Linked DNA regions of Nothobranchius furzeri. The protein of the gene in region 2 purifies or fractionates together with the protein of the main gene of each other region. This does not show direct contact. Links are inferred from orthologs where the notes say so. Each region holds a gene or a part of one and is shown on either strand. Other genes may lie near its edges. The genes, in order: insig1 and rnf139.

What was found.
Region 1: the proteins of rnf139 (region 2) and insig1 purify together in Homo sapiens (affinity purification with western blotting, with the first as the bait; 3 studies listed by BioGRID). This does not show direct contact. The link is inferred for Nothobranchius furzeri from reciprocal best matches to the Homo sapiens genes RNF139 and INSIG1.

Annotation. Positions count from the first base shown.
Region 1 is NC_091747.1:47,846,184-47,863,504, forward strand, and holds insig1 (insulin-induced gene 1 protein), read right to left. Parts: upstream 10,863-17,321; 5' UTR 10,748-10,862; intron 9,274-10,747; 5' UTR 9,121-9,273; intron 9,026-9,120; exon of another isoform or gene 9,023-9,025; 5' UTR 8,991-9,022; coding exon 8,930-8,990; intron 8,849-8,929; coding exon 8,501-8,848; intron 6,941-8,500; coding exon 6,816-6,940; intron 6,586-6,815; coding exon 6,419-6,585; intron 6,329-6,418; coding exon 6,229-6,328; intron 2,679-6,228; coding exon 2,649-2,678; 3' UTR 514-2,648; downstream 1-513. UniProt on the Homo sapiens protein: Oxysterol-binding protein that mediates feedback control of cholesterol synthesis by controlling both endoplasmic reticulum to Golgi transport of SCAP and degradation of HMGCR.
Region 2 is NC_091759.1:12,632,665-12,649,544, reverse strand, and holds rnf139 (E3 ubiquitin-protein ligase RNF139), read left to right. Parts: upstream 1-1,958; 5' UTR 1,959-2,371; coding exon 2,372-2,534; intron 2,535-5,254; coding exon 5,255-5,910; intron 5,911-6,025; coding exon 6,026-6,173; intron 6,174-6,258; coding exon 6,259-6,365; intron 6,366-6,978; coding exon 6,979-7,230; intron 7,231-11,424; coding exon 11,425-12,198; 3' UTR 12,199-14,055; downstream 14,056-16,880. Other genes in the region: deoxyribonuclease TATDN1, read left to right, coding at 2-78, 485-555, 784-910, 1,005-1,107. UniProt on the Homo sapiens protein: E3-ubiquitin ligase; acts as a negative regulator of cell proliferation through mechanisms involving G2/M arrest and cell death.

The DNA.
Region 1 (17,321 bases), on a different chromosome or scaffold from region 2:
TTAATATATATATTTACATTATATTCAGAAGGCGAAGCTCTCGATTTACCGGTCGATCTATGTTCCTACCCTCACCTATGGTCATGAGCTTTGGGTAGTGACCGAAAGAATGAGATCTCAGGTACAAGCGGCCGAAATGAGTTTTCTCCACAGGGTGTCTGGGCTCTCCCTCAGTCATCTGGGAGGGGCTTGGAGTAGACCTGCTGCTCCTCCACATCGAGAGGAGCCAGTTGAGGTGATTCGGGCATCTGATTAGGATGTGAACACGTGGTAAAAAAGTAACTTTTCTGGTAACAATTTGTGATTAAAGGACAAATTCTTCTTCTCCAAGGAACCAAAAAAATAGAACATTTTCAAATATTTTTTACCCGTTGTTTGTAAAACGTTTGCATGACATGCTAAGAAATCAGCAAAGCAGCAAGATGCTTTGATTAGTTTTTAAGACTAACTCAGATTTCTATATTAAACACGTTTCCATGTTTTAAGTATCCAAGTCAACTATAAACACAGAAATTCATGTCTAGTGTTTTTTATTTATTTTTCACTTAAATTCAAGGTAGCAAAAATCATACACAGCTCAGACTGAAAACTAATACAACAAAAGGTGCTTCACCACCTCAGAAAGACAAAACAACAAAAAGCGTAAAATAAATAAAGTTTCCTCTTTTGTCAGCATACCTGAATGAAAGCAGATGAAGTTTTTAAAAAAATAAATCAGGTTTCCTCTAACAATGCTACGAAATGAGACTTTCTCTGAGGGTCATTGCTGTTGACTCCAATAATGTAATCTGACTGAATCGGGTTCACAAAAACAAAATAGCGTGATTTAACAACTCACACTGCATTTACAAACTTTTTTTTAGTCTTTGTCAGAAATAATAAATAAAAAAGGAGAATCAGGAGATGTATAATTTGATTGCACTTGATCTTTAAGACCCCCTTAAACACAAACATGCTGCAGGTCTTAGTGTGGTAAAGAACAGCGGTCCGATTGCAGAAAGCTATTTTACATTTGAGCATCCATGACATCATACACATGAGAAAAAACTAGTGACAAAAGCACTAAATTCTATAAAACAGGCAATCACAGATTGCAAATCTTGACGTAATATGCCCTACCCTCCTGAATACTTTACTGTGTGTAAAATGATTGGAAATCAAAGGGGTCGACGACATTTAGATCAGATCAATGAAAAATGGATACTTGTGGTACATTCTTTGCACCTTAGTGGCTTTAAATAAATCTCTGCACGTTTACATTTAATGGACATTTCAGCCCCAGCTAATGCTGCATAATAGCACCGCACCTGAACCAAGTTTTTATTTCTTCCAAAAAAAATTGGTCTTTTTTTCTTATCTGGAATTAAAAGAGACAAATCTAATGGAGTAATCACTTGTCTCGCTCTGGAACTAAATACGATACTTGACCTGTTGGTAAATACAGATTTTTCTGTTGTAATTGATGCAGTGTGCTTTGTTTTATTTATTTATTTTTTTTACAGCCACCCCATTTTTACTTTACTCCACTTATCAAAATCTACAGAAACATTTTGAGAAACAATTTGCTTTCTTCCCCCCCCCAAAATCCCTGATTATGCAGCTACTCAGCCAACAATGTGTTACTTCTGCTTTTTAAACCCTCCAAAAAAGGCCAGTTTTATCATCTGCAGCTGAGCCAAATCGCAGTTAAAGCTGCCGTTCTGCATTAAGAACTTTAAGAGGGGCCCAGCTGCAGGTTGCTCTCCTCGGGGGCCAACTTCTGTGAGCATATATGGTCTGATGCAAGAAACCAGCAATATAGCATCAGTATTTACTCACAGTCGACCGACGAGGGCTCAAATGAAATTCAGTTTCAACTTTGTTACAGAACGGGAAACTACAGCACTTTTGTGTGTTTTTGTATTGATCTTAAAAATAGCTAGAATTTTTTTTAAAAAAAAAGGAGATTTTTAAGTCTAAATATATTCACTGAAATAATCTTTTGACTTAAAAAAATATCTATACCTACAAAGTACCTAGAAATGTTCAGAATTTTTACAGTACTGTCACTTTTTGTTTAATTATTGTCCACCTCATTTTAAATTTATATATAAAAAAGGATAATTTAAAGAAAGCAACATAATTCTCAAAATGTTTACACACACACACACACACACATGCTTTAGGTTTATGAAAACTTACAAAAAATACTTTGTTTTGGTTTAAATGGGAACGTAGCACTCCCCGGTGATGCCACTAAATACGACTCCACGTAAGAGTGATGAGGTTTTTTGTACCAGCAGACATTTCCCTTTTATGATTCTAAGTCTAACAAGAGAAAAATTTAAATACATCAGTCTCATCACATCTTCCAGCCAAGACCAAAAACAGTCACTGAAAATCAAAACACTCAAAGAAAAGGCGAACCCCGTCTTCTTGTCTCGTGTGAAGGAAGTCTTAATGCCGACAGAGATAAATGAGGAGTTGTTTGGCCACAAACAGGTTCAGAGGACATGGCACGTTAGACGATGGACTTTGAGGATCCAAAAGGATGTAGTCGAAACTATGAGTCTCTTCTTTTCTCAGGTCATCATACCCCTCTCTCCGAAAACCAAACCGTCTCTATTTTCATCCGTTTTTTACCTCGTTGTACGTCTTTCTGCTAGAGTTCAGTCCATGTGGGGTTTCTCACACCCACCCTGAGGAGAAACAAACACATCCAGCATCAGAAATCACATCTTTGGGTCTATTGCTTACATTTGAATATTTAATGTCAACAGGCCCATTTTCACTGTCGGAACTAATTTTACCAGACCTTAATGGCATGCCCGTGTCACCAGTTCATCCGGCGTTGGCGCCGTTTTAACATAGTCAGAAAAGCCAGAATTCTTGCAGCTTTGTGATCTTCTATAGAGCGCCGTAAAACCTGATCATTGAACGCCACTTTTTACACAACAAAGCTGCTCTTCACATCCCCGAATGAATTAAATAACGGCATACTTTGATCGAATAAAACATTTAATGTCAATAATGTCCGTGGATGCCTTTTGGAGCTGATCTGTGACGTCACCCACGGCTGAAACTTTTGCAATATTCAGACGTTTTGGCAAAATCCTGAAAGAAACGATTTTTTGAGGAGAAACAGCTGAAAGGACGGAGCCATCGTTTTGTCCCCATCGCTTTCCTTTGCCAGAAATTTCCCAGAACCTCTACGGTGGTGACACAGGTAAAAATTTTTCCTTTGACGAGATTATGTTCCTCCATTGAAACAGTTAAAATATTAATATTTTAAAAAGTTTTTGTCAATTATCCTGCTTCTAAATGGTTCTATTAAGTTCTAATAAAGCTGTTTTAGTGTAACAGTAAAGAACCAGGTACACTGGAAAACTAAAAATACAAGCGGATTTTCTCTCCGATACTTCTAAACACGATCAAATGGAGCAAAAAGGGGGGATAAAATCTAAAGAAAGCTTCGAGTTCAAACTTGTGCCAACATTCCTTGGGCCTCTTCACAAAAAACAAAACAAAACAAAAACAAGTAGCTAATGACCCTCTGGTCAGCAGAGTCTGGACTGGCTCGGAGTCTCGCCACGACTGTGAAAAACAACAGCTCCTAATCTGCTTTCACGCTTTCCCTCAGTCAAACCGAGAACTCGTACTTCACAGGCGGAATGAGGTGGGGCTTCCAGACAGACGCTCAATAAAGACATCAAAGCCCACTTCATGGGATAATTATGAAGGAAGAGAAAATGCTCTTTGCTCACATGTAAACCATTCCACAATCTTATCTGCTGTGGCGGCTCAGCTGGATAATTATTAATAAAGCAAGTGTGATGAACAGGAGGCGTTTGAAGTCATTATTTGTTGTCGAGGAACGCAGAAACTCATAGAGATAAACGCTGAGGGGTCTTTTCAGCAAAGATGTCTGGGGGAAAACTTTCCAAAGTATCACAGAGATTCAGTGTTTACTCTGGAATTTTGACTTGGCAGATGGGGAAAAGGTGCTGGACTGAGATCAAGAGAACGGAGAGCTGTTCTGTTAAAACCAAAGATCTGGCAGATCTGCAAATGGTGACATATGCGGCCTCGGATTGGTCGGTATTAAGCTGTCTTTTCTGAAGGTGGATGGCATTGTTGCTAAGGCAGGAAGAGGAGGGTCCCATTTTAAATCTGACCTTATAGGAAGCAGTAAGGGTGTACTGGCAATAATCTGGTTTGTAGCCTCCTGGTGGTTGTTGCATTGTTATGTATTGCCTTGTAAATGTTAATAAAGGCTTTGTAAAATAAAAATTGGCAAGAATCTTGCAATACGATATAGATCACAATGACAGGTGAGACGATCCAGTTTATCTCGAAACTAAAAGCCAAACAACGTTTGTGATTTTTAGGACCGAGTTTAATTGGGGAACTCAGGTCAGGCACTTCCAAGACACTCCAGTATTTTGCCATAAACCAGGAGCGTGTCCAGGGGGTGGCCTGGGGTAGCACATGCCAACCTTGGAATCTGATTGGCCACCCCACTGAATTTCCTTTAAACAGACTTGTCCACCTTGTCCTTGATTCGGAAAAGGGTAGAATGCCTTCTCCGGGTCAGGGGTGAGGTCCTGCCCCAAGTGGAGGAGTATCTCGGGGTCTTGTTCACGAGTGAGGGAAAACTGGAGCGTGAGATCGATAGGCGGATTGGTGCTGCATCTGCAGTGATGCGGGCGTTGTACCGGTCTGTCGTGGTGAAGAGAGCTGAGCCAGAAGGCGAAGCTCTCGATTTACCGGTCGATCTATGTTCCTGCCCTCACCTATGGTTATGAGCTTTGGGTAGTGACCGAAAGAACGAGATCGCGGATACAAGCGACCAAAATGAGTATTCTCAGAAGAGTGGCTGGGCTCTCCCTTAGAGATAGGGTGAGAAGCTCGGTCATCCGGGGGGCTCGGAGTAGACCCGCTGCTTCTCCACATTGAGAGGAGCCAGTTGAGGTGGCTCGGGCATCTGGTCAGGATGCCTCCTGGACGCCTCCCTGGTGAGGTTTTCCAGGCACATCTAACTGGGAGGAGACCTGAAGGTAGACCCAGGACACGGCAGAGGGACTATGCCTCTCACCTGGCCAGGGAACGCCTTGGGATTCCCCCAGAGGAGCTGGCCCAAGTGGTTGGGGAGAGGGAAGTCTGGGCCTCTCGCCTTAGGCTACTGCCCCTGCGACCCGACTCCGGATAAGCGGATGAAAATGGATGGATGGAGACTTGTCCACAAAAAGCTTGGGGTAAAAAAGAAAAAGCATAACCATTGGTGCCACTTACCTGGGCCACCCCATTTTAAAAGATCTGGCCACGCCACTGCCATAAACTTGAATATATAAATACCTCAGTGGGGGCTGGAGAGCGTCGCTATATTAGGTGGATTTCTCACTCTCCAAACCCAACTGGAGTCAATACAGGTTGAGCAAATATGCCTGTCTTTTGTGCAGCCTACTGTTGCAGCAACAGGCGCATTATTGAAAAGAGATCATCTGGGATTTCTACTGACTTTTCTGGCTACCCGTTGGGATTTTACATTTGAATTTATTTTCTATCCATCCATCCATTTTTGGCCGATTATCCAGGGTCAGGTCGCAGGGGCAGTAGCCTAAGTCGAGAGGCCCAGACTTCCCTTTCCCCATGCGCTTGGGCCAGCTCCTGCGGGGGAATCTCAAGGAGTTTCCTGGCCAGCCAAGAGACATATTCCCTCCATCGTGTCCTGGGTCTTCCTTTAGGTCTTCGCCCAGTTGGACGTGCCCGGAAAACCTCACTAGGGAGGCGTCCAGGAGGCATCCCAACTAGCTGCCTGAGACAATTTATTTTATTTTATTATATTTATATTTTAACTATGATGCCATACCATATGTGTGTCTTTGTGAAAAAGGATAATAAAATGTGTGATTTAGTTGGGTAAACGTCTTCCTCGGTAAAAAAATGCCATTGGGGGCGAAAGAATAGAGATTCATCCAAGATGGCAGCCCGCTGCTACACCAGCACCAATAGGCAGCGCTAATCCACAGAGTGTCTATGTATATGATGAAGGCAGTAAAAAATCCTGCCCCCTAGCAGTTGAAGTTTGAATAGCAACACATATACAATAAATACTTGCATTTAAATACTCAATAAAATTGATACTGCCTTTGAATATTGATTCAGAATAATAAAATATTGCGATATTTCAGTGCAGCAACATTTTTATACATCACTGGGAAGCAGTTAAAAAATGGCAGAAAATGTTACCATGGCAAGTTGGCGTCCGATGTTTCCCACAGTAACGCCGCCTGAGAAGAAAATACACGGGAGCCAGGAACGCACGTACAAAAAGTCTGGAGATGTGTACCTGAAAATAGAACAAAAAAAGAAAAGCTTTTTACTTTACTTCTCCAAATGAAGACATTTCTGGTTCTGCATAATTAAGCAAAGACCTTACTGAAAAACTCCATTGTAGACCAGCAGCTGTGAGATGATGGTAGCTAAGAAGGCCGTGGTGATGCCCAGACCAAACCCACTTCTGGAGCGGTCAAATGTCCACCAGAGGCCCAAAGACAAGGCCGCCAGTGTGAGGGACAGCTGCACGTTGTTGGCAAAGTCTAGTTTCTGTGTTACTGTGGGTTAAGGGCAAAGTTAAACAAGATGATGATGATGTGCTTTTGTTCAAATATTGTTTCGACCGCCTGGTTTCAAGTTCAACCATTAGTGTCAAAAGTTATTGTGTTACTCTCATCCAAACAGGAGGTGGAATATTTTTCCACTTTTCTCCAATTTTCTGGGACAAAAAACTAGCATTAAAATAAGGATTACTTAGGGAAAACATCACAAAAGGATACAACACTAGCATGGTTGATGCCAACAAACACTGCAATGCATCTCATGACGCTTGCCCACTCCCTCTTGAACTTGTGCGGTTCCCCCAAATGGCTGTCGAGGCAGGGATAGAGCAGGCCAACAACAGCTGGAAATAGAAAAAAATGGAACAAAAAGTCAGGAATTATGCAAGATAAGCACAAATTCTCTGAACTAAACAGGACACATCCTGTCAGAGCTGGTTATATGCTGACCAAGTGTTGTTTTACTTTGTGACACATCCATTCACATAGATATCATTAAGTGTTTAAAGAAAAAAGCAAAGAAATGTTCTATTATTTATTGAATTTTTTTTGTTTGATTGTGTATTTGATGAAGTGGAATACAGATACATTTTTTGATTGTGACTTTTTATTACTTTACCACATTTAAATGAAAAAAAAGAAACTAATACAGACTTTCACAGCAAAATAAAATACTTGTAGTCAACCTTTTTTTAAAATAGCTGTAATAATTTAAAAAAATACCAAAGACCAAAAAATATGTTTAAGTCAAAGACGTTGTCCAGCCTCTAGAAATGATGTCCTTTTTATATTTAAATTTTAAAAAAGTACTTTGGGCATTTAACAAAAACTAAGGTAACTTTAAATGAGGACAAATTGTATTCTAAATCACAGCTCTTCATTAAACCTAGTGTTACAATAATTAGCTATAACTTCTACAGTGAAAATTAGACACAGTCATTTTGTTTCACTTTTTTTAACGGATTAAAAGTCAAGACTGGTGAAACATTTTAAATCTGCCAGGAAATAATGTGGTAATTTCTTTATAAATGCCTTTAAAACCTAAAAATGTAACTGGTCTGAAATATCTAGCGAGGGAAGTTCTGATTTTTTCCAATTTTTGGCATAACTGAACAGACACAATTTAACCAATGATCATGCTTGACTGGTGATTTAAAAGTACCAGGACTAACCTAATCTGTTTGTTGTGCACAAAAATGAAGTGGAAAACAGCTATTTAATTAAACTAAAGTTTAACAAGCTGGAGTAAATTAAACATGCTGAAAGACAAAAAGCTAAAAGTTTTCTGCTCAGCAGCACATGGAAGGAGGAGCAAAACGCGTTTTTTCTACCTCCTCTCATTTCCGGGTTCCTGGCCTTAAAGGGGGCGGCCCTTATCTCACCCGTTATGACACCAGCTAATGAGCGAACAGCTCACGTAGACTCTGACCAATCAGAAGCCAAGAAGCTCTACCGTCTGCAACTAGTCGTGTCTTTTGATACTAGACTGCCACTCAACCATAAAAAGTCTTCCCCGACGGAAGAAAAACAGCGTTACAACAACAACAGCGTTACAACAACAACATAGTAAAGCCGAATGACAACGTATCGCAGTAGGACACGATAGAAAACGACAAATTAGAAGATTTTCAAAATGTGTTGTTATAAAGCCGCGTTTGATTTATTAAATGACATAAATGGGTGCTTACTTTAGCGTGCAAGTGCAAATAAGAATAAAATATGATTTTCCAGACTCTTAATGCCTACAAATGAATTATAAATTAAATGTATCCTCCTCGTTAGCATTTTTAAATTAAATAAATAATGCTCCACGGTAACCCCTCCCCTCTTTGCTTGTCTTTGTCCCCAAATTAGCTGTAAACTAATACAGTTATGAAGTTCACCTCCGTTTATGGTCCACTTACCTGCTCCTGTACCGCAGCATGGCGGGATCCACCAGGCAGACGAAAACAAAGTTGTCATCACCTCCTCTGGAAAAAGGGTGACATTTCTTTGTATCTGCAGCAAGTTGAGCACCAGGGCGAGGAAGACCCCAACCGTGAAGAGGACGAGACCCCTTCGGATCAGGTTGGTGGTCCTGCCGTGGTGGAGGGAGCCGTAGGCAGTGCTGAGCACCTTGGTGGTGATGGACATCATTTCTTCAGCTTTAGATGCGAACCAGCTGGCGCCAAATGAATCTTTAGTTTTAGCTTTTGGTGAACAAGGGCAGCTCCAGTAGTGGTCCTCCAGTCTGGGCATTTGGCACTTCTGAGCTGTTTGAAAGCAGATTCATTCAATTATCTCACATAAAAAAGACACGTTGAGGCAAGGATGACGCGATTCTTGGTCCTTACCTTGTTGATCTCCAGATGAATTAAGTGTCTGGTCCAAAACGAAACCTGCACTCCAGCTCATTCGAGTTAAGCCACGATCCCCGTTTTGCTTTCCTGCTGTTTCCGACAAGGACAGCCGTCACGTCGTTTGTTCACATCATATTTAGTAAACACACAGCGTTGCTTCATTCTACAGCTAAAAGAGCTCGTACCCCAAAAAGAACCAGGACTTCCACTGCAGAAAACAATCTCAGCTGTGTCTGGTGAGAGGCGGCAGCCAATCAGAGCGCGGCAGCTGATATGACGTGACACCAACGCCCCGCCCCGTCGTCCGGTTCAGACAGACTGATCAGGAGGCTGCAGGGCTGAAACGAAAGTAGAAATACTTTAAATAGCGGGAAACATGTAACTCTGGTTTTACATAACATTTAAAATGGGGTGATTAAATATATGAGGACACATTTAAAGGGACACAGTCAAACATTAACATTGATCATGAACGTTAATTCATAATCTACAAAATCAGTTTTGCAAAGTATATGGCAAAAAGTAGATTACATCTGATCAGAACAGACTAAAACCTGATAACATTTAAACGTCTTACAAAAGTACAATGAATAGAATCAAATTTTCAGGTTTTATTCTAGTCAAATGCCAGTGCTGGAGGTTTTCCATATTACATATAGTTTTCTCAAATTATCACATGAGTTTTGCATTCACTCCAACACCCATATTGGATTGGAACCCATTGAATTTTCAGCCCAGGCTAATGTTTTACACTGTGGGGTGGCAGCTGCAAAGGCGTGATCACCTACTACTCTTCACCCTAGGGACATCTTAGGTTGTTTGATCTTAATGTCCTGTCAGTCAGACCAATAAAAGTTTTGAAAACCAACAACAGGAAAAAGAAAAACTCTACTGGTCATAGAGCTAAGAAATAAAGCTGGCTATAGTGATGGTGGTCCATCCATGCATGACGTTATGGTGTAATGTAGACCAATGGTTCCCACATTTTTTACCTTCAGATAAAAAAAATGACAGATATTAAGACTTACAATATATCTTATTGAACTATACATACTTTACTAAAAGCAAGGGCATAATGAAAATTTACAAAGACAATGTACTAGGAATATATATATATATATATATATATATATATATATATATATATATATATATATATATATATATATATATATATTAGGGACACACAAAAAATCAATAAACTTGAACATTGCTACATTTTGTATGCTGGATTGATAGTTAAAAACAATATATTGATTTTAATTGAGAATTTATGTACAAACATTTACTGTATTTCTTTTGTGTGGTAAAAAAATCTCTGACTGCTAGTCATCTGTTTTTTTACTGCCTTTATGACGGAACAGTGACATCTCGCAGTAACACCAGATGTGTCTTGGAAGCATCTCGCCTGAATTTTTCAATGAACTTCAGTCCTAAAAATTGCAAATATTGTCACCCCTGTATTGTGAAATATATTGTTTTGCCGTATTTTTGTCAATACACACTCCTAACCCCATGTTAAACTCAGATTATAAATTTTAGTTTTACCTTTATACCATTTACAATAAAATATTACAGGAATAAAAAATTTTAAAGTCATGTTAGAATTCAGGAAAACATTTTAAGACCCCAGCCTTAAAGCTTTGTGACCCAAACTCTAGAAAGTCTAACAGAGGCTTTAGAGAGTTTTTCCGTTTTTTCTTTTATGGGTAAAAAATTCGTAACAACATCTCTAAAGTGCTTGTACCGGTTATCAAAAGCAGTTTTAATAACAACGATGACTTTTCAAAATGAAAATAGTTTGTCTTTTACCAGTCAGAACAGGATTCCTCTAAGATGGAGACTGTGAGTGTCTTCTTTTCTCAATAAATCTGTAGCATCTTCCAACTCAACTAATCTCTCATCACAGGAGCTCTTATATAGACATGCGTCGAAAACGGGGTTAGTAGCACATGCGTTTGTTTTTCTGATGTTGGTAACAGGTTATTGACCTCTGGGTCAGTCTACTGGAGGTGTGTCTCTTGGGGCAAGTTGTGGCGCTCCTGCATATCAGTCAGACAACATATAACTGGATAAAAGGTCAGTATTCATTTTTCAAGGACCAATAACAACATGGGTTAGATTAGGTAACATAATCTGGAGAGCACAATAACAGATACTGCATGCATGTGTTGAATACATTTGTATCCACAAAGAAATAAACTGGAAATAAAAAGCTAATTTGCTGATGAAAATGTTATTTAACCCTCCCACTGTCTTTATGGGTGACCCCGCAAGAAAAGTTGACCATTGAGCAGGATTGATGGTTTATCCCATTAGGTCCACATAGCAGGGGTGAGGTGGTGCTCACACCTCACCCCTGCCACATGGACCCAAGGGATAAACCATCAACCCTGCTCAATGGTCAACTTTCCTCGCGGGGTCACACCCATTAGGACAGCGGGAGGGTTTAACAGATATGTCATATTTCCTGCAAAACCATGAGCACCAATGACATGGATGACTGACTTCATTCAAACTGATTCACAGGTTAAATGCATGACCTGCAGCAAATTTAGTAAACAAATTCAGATAGCTGGGGAAAAAAATCTGTTTTGGGGATTATCAAACTGAGCTGCTGAAATCCCATATTGTTGCATTTATTACTTCATTATACAAAGATGCAGAGCTGAGATTGAGTTTAGCATTATGGTTGTTAGAACTGGTTTTTGGCTATCACCCAATGTTGAAGTGTACTTGGACTAAACACAGAGCCCCACGTAGCTTCAGATCCTTGTGTCATCAGTGCATGATTGGAGAGAAAAAGTGCTCCACTAACAGGTTGCACAATGACTGCCTGTAAATAGGGGATTGGGAAACTCTGCAAAGAATTTAGCGAAATTAAAAAACTTAAAAAGGCACCCACCATGCATATTAGTGTGGATCATTTATGGTTTTATGAACTAGCTATACTGGTAGTTTAGGGTTAGCATCTTGTTTAGATGATAAAACTTTTAAAATATTTTGATAACTCTAGTGTTTTAGTTGTTAATAGTCGTAGAAGTCATTCAAACAGACAACAGTAAAGCTGCTAAATGGACTTTAGAACATGTGACTTACTTATAACTACATGATATGAGTGGCTTCAAATGCAGAAGAATTGTAGCAGGTGAAAGTAATTTACACTTTGTATTTATTGGGGTTGTTTTATCTTAAACTTAAGAATTGTTATGGATACATACATTTAAATCATATTATGTCTCCATATAGGTAGCCTAAGTCATGCCCATCTACTTCCGGACCAGTGATCCCCTGAAGAATGAAAAAATGAATGCAAGTCAATGGGGCTAAAAATATTTTCTAATCCTGTTTGTTATGTGCGATGGATTTCACATATGATGTCCCTGAATTTTAAAGGTACATTCTGATCCCAAGAAAGCACTTATTTTCAAACGGGGCAAAAGTAATTTTAGGCTTTGTGTGAAAATCTATCCAGGACTACAAATGCGCGATACCAAATTGATGTCATCAAACCAGACACAAAGAAAAGCAGTGGGAAATGGCTGTAGGTTCAGCAAACTTTTCCTCACTGTCATTTGCTTCTTGCTAGACCAGCTAGGACAGTTTCACATGACTACACAAAGTCTCATGACTCTACCTCATTCAGTTTGCTGCACAGCATCTCAAATGAGTCATCACCTGTTGCTACCGTAGATATCTACATCATAGTCTTTTAGGCTCTAAAATTATTTGTATAAAAAAAAATAAAAACTGCTTTTCTGACCCTTTTTTTGTAAAGAACCATTTTCTCGCGACAGCATGCGCGATATCTGCCGGGCAGACATTATAATATTGCAAATGAGGGGCATGTTGATTGGTGGAAGGAAGCAGGGGTGTTGACACTGTAGGTTTTGCTTCAGTATCTCTCTCCAAAATAGCATCCCTGTGATGGACAACGTCCCGGCATGCATACACAGTAGTCTAACTTAGCCTTACTGTTTGAATTTCAGGCAAGTATCTCAGTGTTGAAATGGCCTCTCTTTCTAGACAAATCCTTGATGCCATCTTCGCCTGATATTGCCCCAAATTTATAAAGCATTCTGGCTTAAAATAGTTAGCATAGACGCTGAGACTAGTGGGGAGAGTTTCGGGAACAGCACTGTTAAAAATAAAATTAATCCACTGGTCCCTGGCAGCTTGGTTCAATTTTGGTAAAACAAACACATGTGTGGAGTTTGGCAGTCAACAGCCACCATGGTAGTCAGCAGCTCACATGTGAAACTCCCTTAGACATTTTTCCTTTTCTCAATTTCAGTAATGGAATTACTGCAACTAAATTTGAGGGAAGCGTAGCTGTGCGTGGTATAGTGACATTGCTCTGTGCTGTCCACATATGGTACTGTACATCCTGCCTTAGTGACAACATCGAGGCCAGAACTCAAGATCTCGTTTTGGGCAGGGGCGCCTCCAGAAAATGTTGATGGAGTGGCCGGATGGGGCCAAAGAAATCTTTGGGGTGGCACACCAAATTGGTCCTTATGGTAACGCTGGGAGAATTTAGCTTGTGGCGATGTACTGCATTGCTCCTTTATTCATTTTAATTAAAATAACTACGTATCCAAAACAGTTAACTTAAATTTTACAAACACAAACATTTCAGAAAAATACATTTCAGTTATTTAAAATGTTATCCATAATTTAAATGAAAAATTTATATTTTTGTAGGTTAATTCACCTGTTGCTGTGTTAAAAAATAAACTATAGAGATAAAAAAAAGTTAAAATGGTGAGCATGAGAAACATATGTAATTATTTAATTCTGATTATTTCTTTACTCATTAATTGTAATATTTTAATTTTGTTTTACAATATGTCTTAAATAAACAAGATCAATTTATTGTTTGACTGAACATTAACGTTATTTGTTAACACTGGCTTTTCCTGGGGGGGGGGCATGGCCTCCCCTGACTACCCCTTGGGGGCGCCCATGGCTTTGAGGTGCACGTGAGTTGGTTGATGAAGCCAACAGTAAAAAACGATCCAAAGTTAAATATCGGCTTCCCAACCAGTGAACAATCATTAGGATGCCATTACATAATAGGAACATTGGCAACCTACACACACCTTTTCATTATTTTTTTTAAATTCGTAATATATTTGCACTGGTAAAATTAAGTCAGTAATAGACACACTTCTATGGTGTCTGTAAACGTTCGCCCACCTCTACTTTGAACACTTAAAGAAGGTTTACCAAACATCTACACAGTAAAGGAAATGAAAATGTCATAATATTGAAGGCCTATCACTTGACACAAAAGTGAAGATAGATGACACTAAAAAGAATCTTTTAAAAAACTTTGACCAAGGTTGGGATTTGTGGCTTCTCTATTGTTAGCATTTGCTTGTGGAAAAAGAGGAGGGTTTTAGGCTTTGCAACATCACTGCCCGAGACAAAAATGGGTTAGGGTTAGGGTTATTTTCACTTGCTAGTTTTTACAAGCTCAGTTACTCCCCTATGTAGAAGACCACAGGTGAAGGACATTGTCTAGCTATTCCACATCCAAGCAATGGTTTTTCTGCAAAGACACTGACAATTTGGGGAACTACTGCCACCTATAGGATTAGAATGCATATGAATGTGCTTCACAATAGATTAAAAATGCTTAAAATAAGGTGGTGTGGACCCAAGGAGGATATTCAGTTTTACAAAAACGTGGCTACGTGTACGCTACCTAAAAGTTTCATTGTAGTCATTCGTTTACAGATAAATTAATACACACAAAAACATTATCAACCACCAGGTAGTGTTATCAAACCCTTGTCAGGGCAGCCTTTCTCATGCCTTTTTAATTGTCTCTCTGCCCAATGAAGGAATTAGTGAAACCATGACACATGAAGATGATAAAAAATGTAAAAAAGAAGCGACTCGCTACAAAACAGACTTCCTGTAAGGTTACAACAGCAGGCTGGGGACCAGTGTTGCTGTTGACAAGCCTGCAAATGAAGTGGTGGCAAATCCATACGAAAAGGAGCTTCCTGCGATCAGTTCTAACCATGTCATGACACAATTTGAAAGATAAAGCAGCCTTTTCAGCCTCACTGGAGCAGCTACAGAAGGACATTTTGAAAGTATTACGTCTGCAGACTGCACATTCAAACTGACCGATTTTAAATTGGTTTCACTTGGAGTGAATGAGAAAAGTCATCTCTAAAATGGCAGCGATAACGGGGTGGTTAAATATAAATGTCACAGCTGCACTCCACTAGAGCTTTTTTCACTTTTTAAGCAAAGAAATAAAGCATGAAAGAACGTTGAGGGCTGAAAAGTTAGCGTTTGTCTCCCCAGTTTCATTTCTTAGAGCTCGAATAAATAAACCATGTCTTACGGGATGACGACGATGATGAAAGAAGGAATGTATTTTTAAGCCAAAACAGGTTTCTTGTGGCATTTTTTTTCTTTCAAAAAGATGCTTGGACACAACATCGTTGATCTGTAGGCTGGAGACGACAAAAGCTGCAGTCCATAGATAATGACATCAGTCATATTCACTCCATTCTAATTTCAGAGAGCCATGTGGTTTACAAAGATAAATCAGCAAAGCCTCTCGTGTTTTTAAAAAGGCAAGAAAAAGGAGGTCAGGAAAGGAGATGGAGAAGGGTGCACCAGAGTTGTGAAAGTGCAGAAGCAATTCAACAATGTCAATTTCATCTCAGCGTAGAGTCTCAGTTTCCCAAAATGAATGAGTTCTTAACGATCCAGAGGCCTCAGGATAAAAGCCTACAGCAGTGACTGTGTGTGGGTGTCGAGAGCGCCAGTCTTTATCGTCAACAGGAAGATGAAATCTTGGAATAATTTACTATAAATCTAGATTATCTCACAGAAATTAATGGAAAACAGGCCAGAATCAGAAGGTTAGCTTACAAGGATAACCATGAAAATGCCTCAACATAACGCAAACAGCTCTTAGCAACCATCAATGTTGGGGAGGTCTTCGCCACATCAGCAGATAAAACAGGAAGCGACGACACTTCAAATGAAAAGCAGATCAAGCGTGTCATAGATGACGCTGTTAGACTCAGAGGGATTTTTGCTGTGGGAACGAAGAGGGAAAAGCCCGCTGGAAGAGTACGCAAATTGATCCATCAAACTCAAGCCTGACAACCCCCTCCACCTCAAGCCTGTGTGAAATTATGAAAGGAAACATCCTAATCCACCCTCGACGGATAGTTGATTAAATTGAAAAAGGTTTAGGCTTTTTTCTGCTTATTCCCTCTTCATCATGTGTCATGAAGCATGGCATTTATTCCTGTCCAAAGAGCTGAGATACACATTTGAAATGAATTTAAGCCATCAATGATATTTTCATGTCATTTCCAGCATCAATTGAAATTTTATTGCAAAATTTGCTTTATTTCTCCACAACAACACTGCCTCCCTGCACTGAGTAGAATTCTGAGGAACAAAGGTCGCCTTAAAAGTGCTGTTTCTGCAGCCTGAGGGTGTGGCACCAGGTTTCCATCATGGTATCTCTTTGTTCTTTGCCACTCGGCTCTGAAATTGTTTCAGAGCTGCTCAAACACAAATACTTACTATCCCGTAAAGTGTAAGCTGTAGACCAAAACAGGGTTTCATTCTCAGTGATCTGCATTTAAAGTGAAAAATTTAAGGGAATCGTACCAAATCGAATTTATTTTTTTAAAGTTTCATTGACTTTCATGTAATTTTTAAGTTTTTTTGTTGTTTTTGTTATATTCTGAAATTTGATTTTTGTTTGTCTTGCCCAAATGTTGATTTATTTAAAAAATATATATTTTACTTAGCTAAGTCATAATAATGAGATACTATATTGTAATTATGACTGAGCTATAATGAGATACTATCTCATAATAATGAAATACTATTTCAATATTATGAGATACTATTTCATAATAACGAGATACTATCTTTGGAAATGGGCTTCCAAAGTATGGGATGTTTCCTGAGTTTTTCGTGTGTTTTGGGAGGTGATTTATGAGCTTGGTGTTGTGTTTTCTGAAGAGTAGTTTATGTTGCCCTAATATTCTCTGAAACTCTTGTTTATTGTTGTTTTCCCAAACATTGTTTTGTGTGTTTTGTTAAGTGCTTGGTGTACAATCAGATGTCAAATTTGTGTCTCCCCAAAGGGTGAATAAGTGTTGTAGCTTTTTCTCAAATGTGTTTAGAAATATGGGTTTCACCGTTGCCATTCTCTTTCTTTGCCATCTTTGTTCTAATTTCTTTTAAATACATATACATCATCATGTCTTTAGATCTATTTTATTCTATAATTTTTAAACATTCAGATATTTTGTACAGCAGTTCATTATTTTTCTAACTAAAATAGGTTTTACAGAGCTAACAAATGCAACAATGACATTTTTGTTGCAGG
Region 2 (16,880 bases):
GGTCCACTCATTCGATGGGACGGTAGAAGATGCTGCTGCACTCACTGACCTGGATCTGTACATTGGCATTAATGGATGGTAAGATGTTATTTTAACAAGATAATAAATTATGTTTAAACATTGAACTGTCCCCGCGACTCGACCCAGATAAACAGCCGAAAATGGATGGATGGGCAATAAATAGAAAAATGTAATAATCCCAGAGGGACATTATAATAATTAAAGCTATACTTCAGAGTTTTAACACTTTAAGCTATTGCTTTCAAACTGGTTTCAGTGGTTGTTGAGCCATGGACTTGAGCAAATTCACATGGAACAGCACTCTGCTGAACAGAAGTTGCACTAAACAACTTTGTGGCTTGGTTAGCTACAAGTGAGTGGTGGAGGAACGGTCGGGGTGAACGTTACTGTGCCAGTAACTCATATAAATTTAGCTTTTTCAGTTTGTGTACAATGTCTCTAATAATCAAGTGCAACTTTTCAGCTCCTTGAAGACAACAGCCAATATTGAAGCTATGAAGTCAATCCCCACAGAGAGACTCTTGATAGAAACTGGTGAGTTATGGGTTATTGATTTATTTGGTTTTTTTATTTATTTAGCCATTTGACAAAATGGACCAATGTCTTTGATGTGCTCTGATCTCCAAAACCTCCAAACTTTCTGTTGGTATAAGAAGTTTTTCTTCCATTTGTATTACTTGACCTTGTTGGGTAATGGAATTTCCACCCCGTGAGTACAAACTAGTGCGTTTTTTTGCATTTTGCCTTTTTCTCTTTCTCCAGATGCCCCATGGTGTGGTGTGAAGAACACTCATGTGGGCTCCAAATATGTTAAAACCACATTTCCAACAAAGAAGAAATGGGAGGCAGGGCATTGTTTGAAGGATAGAAATGAGCCCTGTCACATCGTGTGAGTACTGCTAGGGATTAGCAAAATTAAAAATAAAAATAAATCATTGTTCATGCATTTTAATTCCATCGTTCTCTTATTTTGTTTTTAATAGACAAGTTCTTGAGGTGATGGCAGGTACAAGAGATGAAGACCCACTTGAGCTGGCCAACACTATCTACAACAACACCATCAAAGTTTTCTTTAGCTCCAGCTGAAAACAGTTGATATTGTTATGGCATTATATTGTCTTATGAATGCTTGTTTGTTTGCACGTGCCTAAAGAAAAGGTTTATAGATTCAGTATGGTCATTTGCAAATATAAAGTATCTTCCAATGTATCCTATTTGTAATTTTTAAAGTTAATAGTAAAGAAAGTAAGATTTTTCCAGGAAATTTATCTAATTTTTTTCAGTTTTTCTCCTTTTTAAAAGGCCCAAAGAAGGATGCAGTCTGTTTACAATCCGTCCTGCCTCTATCCTTCCTGGTTCCAGATCCAATCATATGTGAGCTAGCAAAGTTGCCAAGTCTTCAAACAGTGAGCCCACATTTGTAGTTGCAGCACCAACTGGCAAAAAGCAGCAGTGTTGTGGAAATCATGTTAGCCAGTAAAAGGAGTGCCCCAGTAATTAGTTATAACCCTAAGAAGCCACAGCAACCTTTTTGTTTTACTCTAATATCGGGTAAAAAAAATAAATAAAAAAGGCTGGAGGCTAATGTTGAGCTAACTGCTAATGGTGCATTAGAAAATTATTATCTGTTCTGACCATCGACATATACATATAGGTCCTGACAATATCTTAAGCTGATTTTCAATTACTAACAACTCTGTATGACAGTGAAATGTATTTATAAGCTAATCATCTTACTGTGCATGACTTGCCATCTAGAATATTCCGTTGCTGATCAATAACTGGCAACCATCGTCCCTTTTTTTTTAGCTTTTTTGTGTTTTGTAAAAAAAAATACACTGAAACACATAAAAACATCTTTAATTTATTCATAGTAAGAGTTATTATTATACATTCATCCTGTTGTTCAGTAAAAAAAAAAAGAGGAAGCACGTGGGTCTCGTTGCGTCAGCCGTCACACCCACCGACGACGAGTTGTACGTCACGTTACGTCACATCTGAATCACCCAACAACTTTGTGTTCTTCGTAAAGCCAGAGCTATAGGAAATGAGTGTGTTGTCGTTGTTTCCATGTTTTTGGTGACATTAACCAGCGCAGGATCGGATGGAGCGTTTTGAATTTTAATGGCGAAATGACTCCGGATGTGAGCTGGAGCGTCACATTTAACAAACTGAAGAAGCAACAGGAGGGTTGAGCTGGAAGAATATGGCGAGCCGCGACAGGTCGCTAGCTGTTAAATAACCGTCAGGACCAAACAAAATAACACGACACTTGGTGGACTTGAACATGTGTTAAAGTGGCACGGATATCCGGGACTGACCAGGACTGTAAAACCTCAGCTGAAGCCGTATGGCGACCACCCAAGCCCGCATAGGCCAGCAGGCCTTAGCGCTGCTGGATGTGGCGCTGCGAGTTCCCTGTATCTTCATTATCGACGCTATGTTTAACTCTTACTACGACCCTGGATCGGGATGGGCAGGGGTGATGGGAAAGGTGTTGGTCAGAGTTATAGGTAAGTTGTTTTAGGCGCAGATTTCAAACCAAGAGCTTTCGGTTTGTCAACAAGCAAGTTGTTAAAGCTAAGCTAATGCTATCAGAGCTTTCCACCTGTCGGGAACTAAAGCCGATTTAATTATCAGCACGAACATACATTCAAGACACATTTTTCAAACAATTGTTACTGAGTTTGTTTTGCACTTTTTCTTGAGCTTTTTACACTTCAAACCCCCCGTTCAGGTTGTTTATCGCTAACGTTCATTAGCCGGTCACCGGTGTTGTGTCATGTTTTGCGTACCTGCTTGAAACTGGCGGAAAGTTCAAAAATGCCTGAAGGAAAATAGTTTTACTCTAGCTTTATTCAGACGTGTTTTGTAATATTAAAACTTAATGTGGGCGTTGTGAGTATGCATTAGTACAACATTTGTCTTTACGCTCTTTTTTTGGCGTTAGGAGGCAGATTATATAACTTTAGTAGTTTGTGGACTTTTGAACGGTTCATGACTTCTGCAGAGATCAAAGAGCTCTAGGTAAGAGATGCAAGCGATTATATATATATATATATATATATATATATATATATATATATATATATATATATATATAAACAAACTTAGCACCAAGTCAGATTAATCTAAATTGGAATTACAAACCTGCTTCAATGTGAAACTATAGATAATTGAAAAAAGTTTCAACAAGGTTTGACCCCTTTTAGTCACTGAAGTCGTTTTATCAGATTGTTGAATGACGCCATTGTTCTCGAATCTTATTGATTAAAACCAAACATGAAAGGACAAAGTTCAAAGATTAATGTAAGGGGAATCTGAAAGGAGTGGTGATTACATACATTAAATGTGGATATTTAGGTCAGAGTCATTTACTTCAAATGTAAAATCTACATAAAGCCCAATCAATTAAACATTTAACCAAATCAGTAAACTATTCAAACTTCGGCAACAGCACCAGACTGCCTGCAGATGTGCCTGACTTTAAATTGGTTTTACTAAAGAATTACCGTAAATCCTCTAATACAGGCCCGGGTCTGTATTTGACTCAAGCTCATCAAGCTCCAGGCCTTTATTGGAAGGAGGACCAGAATTAGAGGCAGGCCTCAATTTCTATTTGAGCAAAATGAACTAATGGTTCGCTGGAGTTTTTGACAATTAAAATTGCGCCCACATTTTCAAAGTTAAACACATTTCTTTTAACAACGGTAGTTTCTGCTTCAGCCCCCCCCCCCCCTGCACAGCTGCCGCAAACTCACTGATGCGCCTGCAGCCTCTCGGAGTTCCTGCTGCTCTAAACATTAAAATAATTATTTCATTTTCTGTTCCTCACTTCTGATTACCTTCAATGGTGTCTGTTTGTTGCAACCACCAGGTACAAAAACTAACTTGTTTTTATTTGACTATTTTTCTGTCCTGTCTGTTTATTATCTTCCTGCATCTCCTCTCAATCCTAAAGAGAAACTGCTACCTGGGTTCATATATATTCACCTTATGAGTTACCTTTGAACTGCAGTTCTAAAAGATCTACCGACCGCAAAAACAGCGGAGTGCTCGCTGGCCACATCAGTGAGGTGCGTCACCGAGGACAAAACAGGTGATGCGCCCCGATCCACAGCAGCGAAAGGCATCAGGCACAAATAAAAGCATAAAAGACAGAAAACATAAAAGGAAATGAGCCGACATGAACGATCGCGTGTTAAATTAGTTTTTGAGGTGGCGACACCTGATTTGATAATGTTACTGTGGCCGTGCTCAGGACGCAGATGTCTGGAGCGCGTCAACAATCAGAGCTTTGCATGCGCAAGCTGGTTAAGGTTAGGATGGGGGTGAGGGGAAGGTTAAATTGCAAGAGGGTAAAGGTCACAACTTGGTTAAATGTCCATTTTATGGCGGGTGTCAGTACCGACGCTCTGGCACAGCGCGTTGCCTCCCGATGCGCAGGAGCTTGTCACCTGCTGACAGCAGGCTGCTGTCTTTTCCGTGGACTGCATCTTGCCGGTCATTATCACGTGACAGCGACTAGTCGATGACAGGCATAAAAAGTCACTATAGAGCGGTGAAGTCGACTAGTGACTAGTTCATACAACCCCTGCTACTGCTCCCCAGAGTGTTCTGCAGCATAATCAGCACGTTCTCTTTGAACTTGATATCAAATTTTCGCCTCCTCTTCGTCTCCGCATGGTTAAATTTACCCTCGCAGTCTATCACTGGCAAATCAAAAGTGAGACGGATGACACAACCGCCTCCCGTACTTGCTTGTTACCACATTCCACCTGGCCACAATAAAAAACCGGCCATTATTCACCTCCGCTGACACCGGCCAAAATATGATAATTAAATACAGGCTAATATTAGAGGATTTACGGTATATTGGTTGACGACTAAATTTAAATAAAAAATGATAAATTTCAGCCTGAGTCATTGGTCTATTCCTAATTTTAGTTGTTTACTTAAACCAGAATTGACCTAAAACTGTATCAGCTAGCCAGATTCGTACAATGAAAGGAAATCCATGTCAGATCTCCAAATCAGAAAGTTTAACGTGCCACAAAATTTTGGAGCATTGCGTTTGTGCTACTTGTTCATTTGAGAGAATCAGACATTTTCTTGTACCAACCAGTAAATAAACATCTTCTTTTCACAAATACTGATTAATGCCAAATATATGGAGCATAATTTACATTTTTAATCATTTCTAATTGTGTGTTTGCTCTGTTCTGTGCTCCAGGTGTTCTCATCTCCACTGTGGTGCTGCTGCTTTCCCAGAAAGCCCTGTTCAAGTTCTACACCCTCCTGTTGGCCGTGCTCCTCGGCGTGGCGGCAGCCCTCATTAACTACCATGCCGCCTCACACATAGACTTCTACAGCGCGTACTACAAAGCGGCGCTGGGGTTCAGATTGTTGCCTAGAAACGGAATGACGTTGTGGCTTGGCATGGCTGCGGTGCAGCTCTCCTTTGGCATCGGCTACGTGTTCCTGCTCAACCTGCAGTCCGTGTTCGCCGCGCTGGTTGTCCTGGACATCATGATCCCTCTGTGGGGGATGATGATCGAGCTTCCCGCTGATGTCCGGCATCTGGTGGCCGTGTTCTCGGGCCTGGTGCTTGTGCTCAACACAGCCGTTTGCTTGGCCATGAGGCTCAAATGGTTCTACTACTCATGTCGGTATGTCTACCTGCTCGTGCGGCACATGTACAGGATCTATGGACTCCAGCTGCTGCTAGAGGACACGTGGAAGAGAATCCGGTTTCCGGACGTGCTGCGAGTATTCTGGCTGACCAGGATCACCGCTCAGGCACTCATACTGGTCTATGTGGTGCGGGCGGTGAGGAAGGAGAGCGGGGATGCCACAGGAGGCGCAACAGATGTGAGCTTTGATGCACAGGTTAGCTACATATGAGGATTTAAAATGCTTTTTATCTCTTTTTTAAGGTAATTTACACTAAAACTATGTGTTTTAGAGATAATGTCTCATTTTTGTGCGGTTGTTTCATTCTTAGGGCTACCTGTTGAGCTGGGACGTGTTCTGGGACTTGACGAGTAACCTGATCATTTCCGGCTGTGATTCCACGCTGACTGTGCTAGGCATGAGCGCCGTCATCTCCTCTGTGGCACACTACCTCGGCCTCAGCATCCTGGCTTTCATAGGTATTAGACACTTTCTTTTTTATTCACAGAGGTTTGCATATAGACTCTAGGGGTCAAATCTGAGCATTTTGCTTTGACATTTCAGGTTCGACAGAGGAAGAGGATAAGCGTTTGGGTTTTGTGGCTCCTGTTCTGTTCTTCATTCTGGCTCTGCAGACCGGCCTCAGCAGCCTGGATCCAGAGGAACGTTTGGTAAGCCTCTGCAGCTTGTTGCAGCCAACCTGGCTCTCCACCAGACAAGTCAGCGCCACGTAAAGTAAAAAAAACGCATCTTACTCGCAAGTTCGGCTCCACCGGGAGGATTTTGGTCGCGAAGCAGCAATGAAAGAATTTGCCGAAGTTGGTAATGCAAGGTCACGAAACCACAGGAGAATCGCAAGGTCACGCATTATTTTGGCAGTTTGTCTGATAAAAAGCGAGGAGGAAGACAGCCGTGTGTATCCAGAAAGGTCTGTGGTTTATTTTTAGCTCAGCTACGGAGGTTTCACAGGTATTGACACTCTTTTATTTACTAGTTACGCAACAGGAAATGTGCAACTGACTTTTATTTAGAACGTTTCTGGATTTTTTTTAGATTGTGTTCTGGAAACGGCGTGTAAAAAAATAAACTCGGAGTGTAATTTTAGAGGCGTGACACTTCGCGGCCAACGGAAATGCATCGACCCGCTATAACGGCGGCTAATTTCTGCGTATGTTGCGTCCCGTGGAAAGCAGAGGTCCTTCTGATTTGATGTATTTCACGTTAGCTGGGTAAACCTTGTGTCACTTTTATGACATTTGTGACTGAGAGGTCTCTGACCTGCAGGTGCGGCTGAGCCGAAACATGTGCCTTCTGCTGACGGCCATCTTGCACTTTATTCACGGCATGACGGACCCCGTTCTAATGTCTCTCAGCGCCTCCCACGTCTCCTCGTTTCGACGCCACTTCCCCGTCCTGCTGGTGTCTGTGGGGCTCTTTGTTCTCCCCGTGGTCCTCAGCCACGCCCTCTGGCATCACTACGAACTCAACACCTGGCTCTTCGCTGTCACTGCTTTCTGCGTGGAGCTCTGCCTCAAGGTGAGCGTGGAAGTAGATAAATCTTTGTGTGTGCATTTTGTAAATGTATATTTATACCATATTTGTTAAGTGTATATTAAAAAGTGCAAAACCAATGGGAGATGGTAATGAGTAGCACAAGAAACATGCATATTTGCAGATTTGGAAAGTTTTGCAGCTTTTTATGTTTGTGACAATCTTACACTTTCATTAACCAGGGTATCTGCAGGTCCTTAAAAAGTCTTAAAGAGTCTTAAAAAGTCTTAAATTAGCTTTTCCAAATTTAAGGCCTTAAAAATCCTTAAAAATGACTAATAATCCTTAAATACAGTTTTCAAAGGTCTTAAATTACCAGAGACCCAATAAACAAGATTCTTTTGTTTTTCTGAATGTCTAGTTAGTGTTCAGCATTTTTTTGTGTACGATGTTGCCGTGAGTGGAACCGTACACCTTCAGTTGGTTGTGAAAGGGGGCTATTTTTAGATGAGCACATTAGCTGGTTAAGCTAGTGGGAGCATGCGCCATGGGGAAGTGCAAGTTTGATGGTAGCTGGATGGTTAATCCCACGTTCACGACGTGGTTAGCACCAGTTCCAGGCAATAGCTGGAAATTATAGCTTAAATTAAATTTTAAAAATAGCTTAAATTTGGTCAAAGTGGCCTTAAAAAGGTCTTAAAAAGTCTTAAATTTGGCTCCCTTAAACCTGCAGATACCCTGATAACATCAGCTCAATTGCAGCTTTAAGAATTTCTCTCACTCAGCACAACAACTATGTTACACCGAGGTGAGCCTCAAAACCACCTCCTAAAAAGGAAAAGCCCTACTGGTGTCGGCACACGTTGTTATGTTTAGCAAATGTCTTTGTGTAATAAAACTACATTTTGTGGGAAATGTTTAAGAAGCCTACAATAAATGAATCAAATATAAAGAAATGTCAGATATTGAATACTTTATTAACATTTTTGAGTGCTATTGCACTCTGATTCATCAGGAAATCCAAACAACTTTAAGATTGGATTTCCATGGAATTAAAGACAACACAAGTGAAGCCTAAATTTTAACTGTGAAAGGTCCAAAAGATGTGATTAATAAAATATGAATGTTAAAGGCTTTTGCACCATTCCTCATAAATGAAGACCAAATCTAACTAGTGACGGGGTATCCGCGGGTCCTTAAAAAGTCTTAAATTTGCTTTTCCAAATTTAAGGCCTTAAAAATGACTAATAATCCTTAAATAGAGTTTCCGAAGGTCTTAAATTACCAGAGACCCAATAAACAAGATTCTTTTATGTCTATAAAAATTTCGTGAATGTCTAGTTAGTGTTCAGCATTTTTTGTGTGATATTGGCGTGAGCGGAACCGTACACCTTCAGTTGGTTGTGAAAGGGGGCTATTTTTAGATGAGCACATTAGCTGGTTAAGCTAGCGGGAGCTTGCGCCATGGGGAAGTGCAAGTTTAATGGTAGCTGGATGGCTAATCCCATGTTCGTGACGTGGTTGGCACCGGTTCCAGGCAATAGCTGGAAATTATAGCTTAGATTTAATTTAAAAAACTGCTTAAATTTGGTCAAAGTGGCCTTAAAAAAACATCTTAAAAGTCTTAAATTTGGCTCCCTTAAACCTGCAGATACCCTGAATGATAACCGGTCATTTATTCATGCACTGTAAAAATAATAACCTCACTTAAAAAAATTATGCCCCATTTTCACATCCAAACTATTTGAACCAACCTAAAGTATTTACATTTAACCAAATGAACATGACTTTAGGGATAGGCAATACATCAAAAATGTATCGTTTTCGAAATTTCTGACTCTTATCGAGATAATTTTTCCCATGTCAATAAATTTTATAATATAAAAGAAAAGATGTGTGTAGGTTGGCAACATTTATGCCCCTTTAAGAAGCCGTACCACCGTGAGTCATGTAAAAACGTTACTCAGTGTAATACATGCGACAGCCCCATCTAGTGGACAGCTTTTGTTTCTGCGCATACCCGTAGTTACCGTCCATTATCGTTAATGAGGTGAAACCCTCAGTATATCGTCATATTGATTTTAGGCTGTATCACCCAGCCCTACGTGACTTAATATGGTTGTGTTGACACTATTTACATATAATCAAACTATGTTTTCATAGCAGCAACGTTGACCAGTTCCAGCTAACTCGTGCCTCATACAGCTGCAAACTGCATGTGAGAGCGAAACACAACAAGCTGATTCCCGAGGTTTTAGTCCGACCTATCACTTTATACTGAACAGCAGAATTGGCACAGCCACCTCATTCCTCTGACTGACCTCCTCACTTACGGTGCTTCATGTCACTGATAGGACAGCCATCTTGAACAAAACAGTCTTTTTACATTTACGGTCCAATTGATGTGTTGGTCCTACGAGTCTTACGTCCACATTCTAACATAATGCACCGCTGAAAACGTTCAAAATATCCTTCGCATGCCTCTCTTTCTCTTCCTAATCTCTTTCAGCATTAGCTTCAAACGTCTGATCGACATCCCTCCTGATCCAAGAGCACCAGCCCCTGTCCTCAGCTGTGTGACTTGTACCAATTGCAACACATATTGTTGATTGACTCATCAAATAGCAAATGGAATTCTGAAAACCAAGAAATCTCACGTGGATCCTTTGTGATCTGCTTCCACAAACTGATGAATGATTGTGACTGATGGGTCGCTCCATGCCGTGTGCGTAGGGATGGGTACCTTTGACATTTGAATCGATCCGGTACTAATTCCCGGTACCTAGGAATCGACACCGGTACTTAACGGTACCAATTTTAGATACTTTTGAGTGTTTAATATTTTAATTCTCTTTTATAATTAAATATATATTTTTCTCAATTTATAACCATATTTGATAAATATCACGATAAATAACATACAACTGTTTGTATTTTAACATCGTCCTTGTAGTTTTATAAGCTGATAATTAAACTGAAGCAAACATCTTTACTGTGAACTAAATTTACTGTGTATCTTCATTCCTTTTGCCGTCCTTTTTCATTTGATTTTTCCTACTGGGAAGTTAGAATTTCCGAGGAGAAAGCGAACGCACCATTAGCTGATAACAATGGTGGCAATGGAAGCTAACATATCAAGCTAACGTTATCTTAAACGTGGGGCGACGGTGGCACAGGAGTTAAGTGCTCGCCCCGCAATCGGAAGGTTGCAGGTTCGAGCCCCGCTCAGTCTGTCGCTGTCGTTGTGTCCTTGGGCAAGACACTTAACCCACGTCTTCTGCTGGTGGTGGTCGGAGGGACCGGTGGCGCCAGTGCTCGGCAGCCTCGCCTCTGTCAGTGCGCCCCAGGGCAGCTGTGGCTACATTGTAGCTCATCCCCACCAGTGTGTGAATGTGTGTGTGAATGGGTGAATGACTGATTGTGTTGTAAAGTGCCTTGGGGGGTTCCAGGACTCTAGAAGGCGCTATATCGAATACAGGCCATTTAAACAGTTTATTTAGCTGCTGGAGCAGATTAAAACGATGATGCCTCCCACTTAGATCATTGTCGCTGGTTTCATCTTCACCCAATCACCCGTCGCATTTAGTAAAGTGAAGCCAAACTTTAGAGCGCGTTCATGTTCTTCTAGTCGAAATTTCAGAGTTCCGAGGAGAAAGCGAATGCACCATTAGCCAAACGGAAGCTAACAAATCAAGCTAACGTTATCTTAAACATTTTATTTACCTATCGGAGCAGATTAAGATGAGGATGTCTCACTTAGATCGTTGTCGCTGGTTTCATCATCACCCAGTTACCCATCACATTTAGTGAAGTGGACCCAAGCTTTAGCGTGCGTTCTTTCTACGATGCTGCTCTGTTTACAACTGGCTCGCAGTGACCGACGACATAACGCTCTTGTGCATGCGCAGCTGTCTAGGCAAGTTCTCGTTATGATGGACGGGTACCGAAACGAGGCACCGTTTGAAACGACGTGAATCGATGCTCGGTCGGTACCTTAAAAAGTACCGAATTCGGTACCCATCCCTACGTGTGCGTCAGACCCATAAAAAGTCCAAAAATCACCCATCATAAAAGATTTTTCTACATTGCCCAACTTTGGTGCTCATATCCTTTATTTCTGCAGACGTGCCATCGAATCTTAGTGACATCACGATGAGACGAGTGTTCAGCTTCGTGTGGAGGTTCCTGAGTTTGGTTCATTAATGCTTATTAGTTGTGCTCGTCTCTTTGTCCCCCCAGGTGGTGGTGTCCCTGACTGTCTACGGCCTCTTCATGGCTGATGGATTCTCCAACGTCCTGTGGGAAAAACTGGACGACTATGTCTACTACGTTCGCTCCACAGGCAACATCATTGAGTTCCTGTTTGGCGTCATCATGTTCGGCAACGGCGCCTACACGATGATGTTCGAGTCGGGCAGTAAGATCCGCGCCTGCATGATGTGCCTGCACGCGTACTTCAACATCTATCTGCAGGCCAAGAACGGTTGGAAGACCTTCATCAACCGCAGGACCGCGGTCAAGAAGATCAACTCTTTGCCAGAGTTGCGAGGGGACCAGCTGAGGGACATCGAGGACGTGTGCGCCATCTGTTACCAGGAGTTCTCCACCTCAGCTCGCCTCACGCCGTGCCACCATTACTTCCACGCCCTGTGCCTGAGGAAGTGGCTCTACATACAGGACACATGTCCCATGTGTCACCAGAGAGTCTACGTTGAGGACGAGGGTCAAGACAGGGACGCCTTTTCAAACAACAACGGGGGCTACGCAGCGCCGCCAGCTGCTGCGGGCCAACCTGCGGCAGGAGAAAACCAGCACGAACAGCCTGGCGCCGAGCTCATGGCGAATGGGGCGGCAGCCGGGGCGCACGCTGCAGCAGAAGCAGCCGGCCTCGACGAGCTGCTGGGGGACAACGACAGCATAGAGTATGACGAAGACGAGTGGGGGACACAGAACGGCAACACGCCAATAGAAGAAGACTATATCAATGATGACACAGACTCCACTGAGGACTGATTAGAAAATAATACACATATATGTTTATTATATTTAAGTTAAAGAAAAAAATGAAACTTTGAAACAACTCCAGCATCTTAATTTGTTCTTGGAAAAACAGTCAGGGATGTCATTCTCTCGTTTTCTTGAGTTTTACTCTAAAAGGGCTTCTGAGACGAGTAAAAGCTGCTCTCGTTCGGTGTGTGTGTGTGTGTGTGTGTGTGTGTGTGTGTGTGTGTGTGTGTGTGTGTGTGTGTGTGTGTGTGTGTGTGTGTGTGTGTGTGTGTGTGTGTGTGTGTGTGTGTGTGTGTGTGTGTGTGTGTGTGTGTGTGTGTGTGTGTGTCATGATTCTTTTTTAAAGTTTCATCATAACTAGACAAAAGTCCAGATGAAAGTCCTCATACATGGCCACGGCTGTCTCCGAACAAATGTACATTTCCAGATTGACTCAAACTTGATACACAAACCAGATGATCCAAACTGAGTTGGAAGTTGAGGAAGTTTTCCGTTCTCCTCTCTCAGGCCCAACATTAAAACGGTGTGTGTGCATGAGGATGCGTGTTTTTGTGTTTAGTGTCTTAATCATCGCAGTCGTGCTGGACTCAAATTAGTTCCTATTCAAATGAAAGTTATTACACTGGTTTTGAGTTCCTACTTTTATGTTTTTAAAAGATTATTCGTTTAATTAAAGAAGCCGAGGTAACAGTTAGCCAAGAAATTATCGGTCTTCAAGATTTGTTCATGAAACTGAGGTTTACAGTGACATTTTTAGCACTAAAACCATTTTGTGGACTCCAACCTTCACAACTGCATCACCGATCAGCCCTGATTTCTGTCACCTTCCAACTTTTTGATTGATTATGGCTCAGAAGTCAGTATTTGTTCCACTACTGCGTGGGTCTGATTGAAGATTGACTTGCTACTGTAATTGCAGATGTACCTCTCACTACTGGTCTGTTATGGGACCTCACTTATGCTTGTGTACGTTATTGTACATGTAAAGGCACACTTTCTCCTTCAGATTAGACGTGCAATTATATATTTATAAAAGTCTCTCATCCGTTCTCTTAAAAGAAATGATTTAATTAGATATGATGCTTAGAAAAAGCTGCTTTTGGAGATGCTCCAGACGCCACATTGGAGGATTTATTTCCCCTGATGAATAAAATATAAGTGAAAATTTTTTCTCAGTGCGGTTAGTATAAAATGAAGTGAAAAGTGCCAGCTGATGACAACAAAAGTATTATTTGATTTACATGTCAGGTAATTTAAAGAGATGATATTTTTGTTTGCAGATAGTCTCTCATGTTTTTACTTACTGTTACCAAAAAGTTTCTCATGCACCCCAAAAAAATAATGATAAATTCTGGCCTCAAAGAAACTTTTCTAATGCAAACACATTTCTATGATGTGACGTGTTGAAATTTTGAGCTACATGGAGGATTTTGCACACTTTCCCAGAATTACCTGTCCTACTGATCTAAAGTTTCGAGCTGCTGGTACAATAATTTTTTTCTCGGTTTTGACGGAAGAGTGCAGCCCGTCATTAGCATCTAGAATATCTCATTTTGAATTTCTAGATTTTTATTTGAATGTTTGCTGGCTCCACTCTGAATGTTGTTAAACTAACACAGTGGTAACGTTTTCAGGGTTTGACTACCTGCATATTCTCGTTGCTGTTATGATTACTGGTTGTTGGTGATTCGGAGAAAGCATTGGGGGAAAAGCTGTGCTTTTTTTTTTTTTAAATGGCTCAGAGCTATGAAGGATTTTGACTTTGTTTCTCAGAAAGTTGTTTGTTTTAGGGAAAAGCTGTTCCTTTTGCCTTTTTTGTTTGTTTAAAAGAGATTTATGTAAATAAAAGCATATTTGATATTGCATGCTGGCCTTTCTGTAACACCACCAACACTTTAATTACAATCTCAAGCACAAATAATCTAATAATTTATTATAAAATGTATTAAAGAACATAATTTTTATTTGTTAACGAATTTTACTCTTGACCAGCAGATGGAGGTGTTCTGTCATTTTTCTGAAGGACACATTCTTAGTTTGGCCACTTTCCATACTTTGGTCAAACTTTTGAATACAGTAATTGTAATTTACAGTCTACTTGGATAATTATATAGAAAATATATTTCTTAATTAAAAATATTCACAGAAATCAATATTCTTTTATTTTTTTCATGTTTACATATAAATTCTTTAAGGAATCCGATTGTTGTGAATGCTTTATTCCTTAGCAGTATAGATTTCTCACTTTTAATTTTTTATTAATAGTTTTTAATATCAATATTATGGAAGCCCATAACTGCCACTTTTATAAAAAAAAAATGTTATCTCATACGATTCTATTTCATCATTATGAGATAGCCACGTCAGCAATGAGATACAAGAATTTTTGTATCAGTGGCAGGAATGGGCTTCCATTTGTATTAAATTAAAGGGGCATTATGGAAGTTTGACAGCCAAAACATGTATAGAAATAATAAGTTTCTTCTTCATACATTCTCCTGCAATGCCCTGGTCCTGTAGAATGAGCCCTGGCATTTTTACTGTGATTGCCTGTTTTTCTGTAAAATCACAGAAAAAGAGAGATGCTCGGGTCGAGCAGGCTGCTTCACGCACGTTCACGCTCAGGCATAGCCCTCCGAACCGTTCTTTGAACGTTGTTTCAGCTGTCATCAACAATATAAATGTTACAGATACAGAAGATGTCACTGGTGGTTTAGCTCGTCTAATAAGACTGCGGGCTTTCGTGCAGAAGACCCAGGTTTGATTCTGGATGTGAACATAGTTTATTTAGAGATTATTTTTTACATTAATGATATGTTTTTTTACAGTAAGATGCCCACATTTTTATTTGAGACTCGCCGTACGGCATTGAATTCACAGGTAAAAAAGATGTGGGTTCAACTTTCATTTTGGAACAATTTTTCAACCAAGGGAAGGGAATGATCTGAGCATGCAGGAGGACTGACCCATCATAAACCTTTGTCGGCTGTGCTGAAGAGAAAGGTACAGAACCACATTATTTAATTATTTAGCTGTGTGTTCTCCTGTCCTCTGTCCTCTGGGCCACACACACACACACACACACACACACACACACACACACACAAGGGACTGTCTCAGCTGTTATTTTCGTTAAGGAGTGTGCATGTACAGCATGCACGCCTCGTGCACAAGCCTCCTCTTGAAGCTGCTGTTACGCATTTGGCCTGAGGGGGCAATCACGAGCATAAAAATTCAAAATTCCGTAAAGTCCATCGACATATATACAAAGTAAAGTCCCTTTAAAACGTTTGTTTAAAGGTTGATTGTGGAGCACAAACACCATAGCGACATCTAGTATGTGGAGGTTGTAGTTGCACCAATATGGTTTCCAGAAGGCCAAGATTGCTGCACATATGTGAAGTGACCAGCCAGCACCATGTCCAGTGACAAATCATACAGGGTAAGGGCTAATTTCTACTAATAAGTCTATTTTTACTACAGTATTTAATGTTTATTGACCGAAAGAACGAGGTCACGGATACAAGTGGCCGAAATGAGTTTTACTCCACAGGGTGGCTAGGCTCTCTCTTAGAGATAGGGTGAGAAGCTCGGTCATCCGGGAGGGGCTCGGAGTAGACCCGCTGCTGCTCCACGTCGAGAGGAGCCAGTTGTGGTGGCTCGAGCATCTGGTCAGGATGCCTTATGGACGCCTCCCCGGTGAGGTTTTCTGGGCACGTCCAATTGGGAGGACACCCAAGGGAAGACCCAGGACACGCTGGAGGGACTATGTCTCTCGGCTGGCCATGGAACGACTTGGGATTCCCTCGGAAGAGCTGGCCCAAGTAGCTGGGGAGAGAGAAGTCTGGGCGTCTCGGCTTAGGCTGCTGCCCCCACGAACCGACTCTGAATAAGAAGATGGATGGAGTATTTAATGTTAGAACATCTATTGGGCTCCGAATCAGCTGCTTGACTTACTGAATCTGCCATTTTCCAAAGTGCTAGCCTTGATGTGCCAAGCGGACTGTGTACTGTATTTGGCAACCCACACTGGTGCCCTCAATTGGCTGGTAGATGCTAACATAAACTCAATTTCATGCCTGTCAAAATAGGGCTTGTGTCATCATCACCCACGCGGCCGCCCTGTTGGCAGCCTATGGACCCTTGTTGCATTTTACTACTGTGAACAGTGCGCTTAATATCGTTCTTGCTGCTTAACTGAATCTATTATTCATATGATTGGCAATATTACGCAACCATGGTAAATAGTTGCTGTGTTGTGTAGTGCAACACATGATCGCGAGGGAAAACGGGCTAATTTTCCTGCTTGGAGGCTTGCTTGGATCACAGCTGTAAGGTGACCAAACATCACCTTCAGAGTATTTTCATTCTTGTAAGTTACAGATGGTGTACGTCGTTTTTTAAATACATCATTTCTTTCCTTCAACTGCGACACGCACACACAACACACGTAGGCTACACACACATACCGGTAAGCTAATTCGGGCGCACTGACACACAACACAACTTCTCCCGCTTCACTTCTATGGAATGACGATTTTGATTGTTTTACTAGAAAAACCAGCAAATGAAAAGTTTACCTCTCATCCAGACATTTACATCCGCTTGCACCAACAAAATAGCTGAAAATGTCCGTTATGCAGAACTGCGGTGGCAACAAGTTGTCGTCGGTGCTCCAGTCTTGGGTC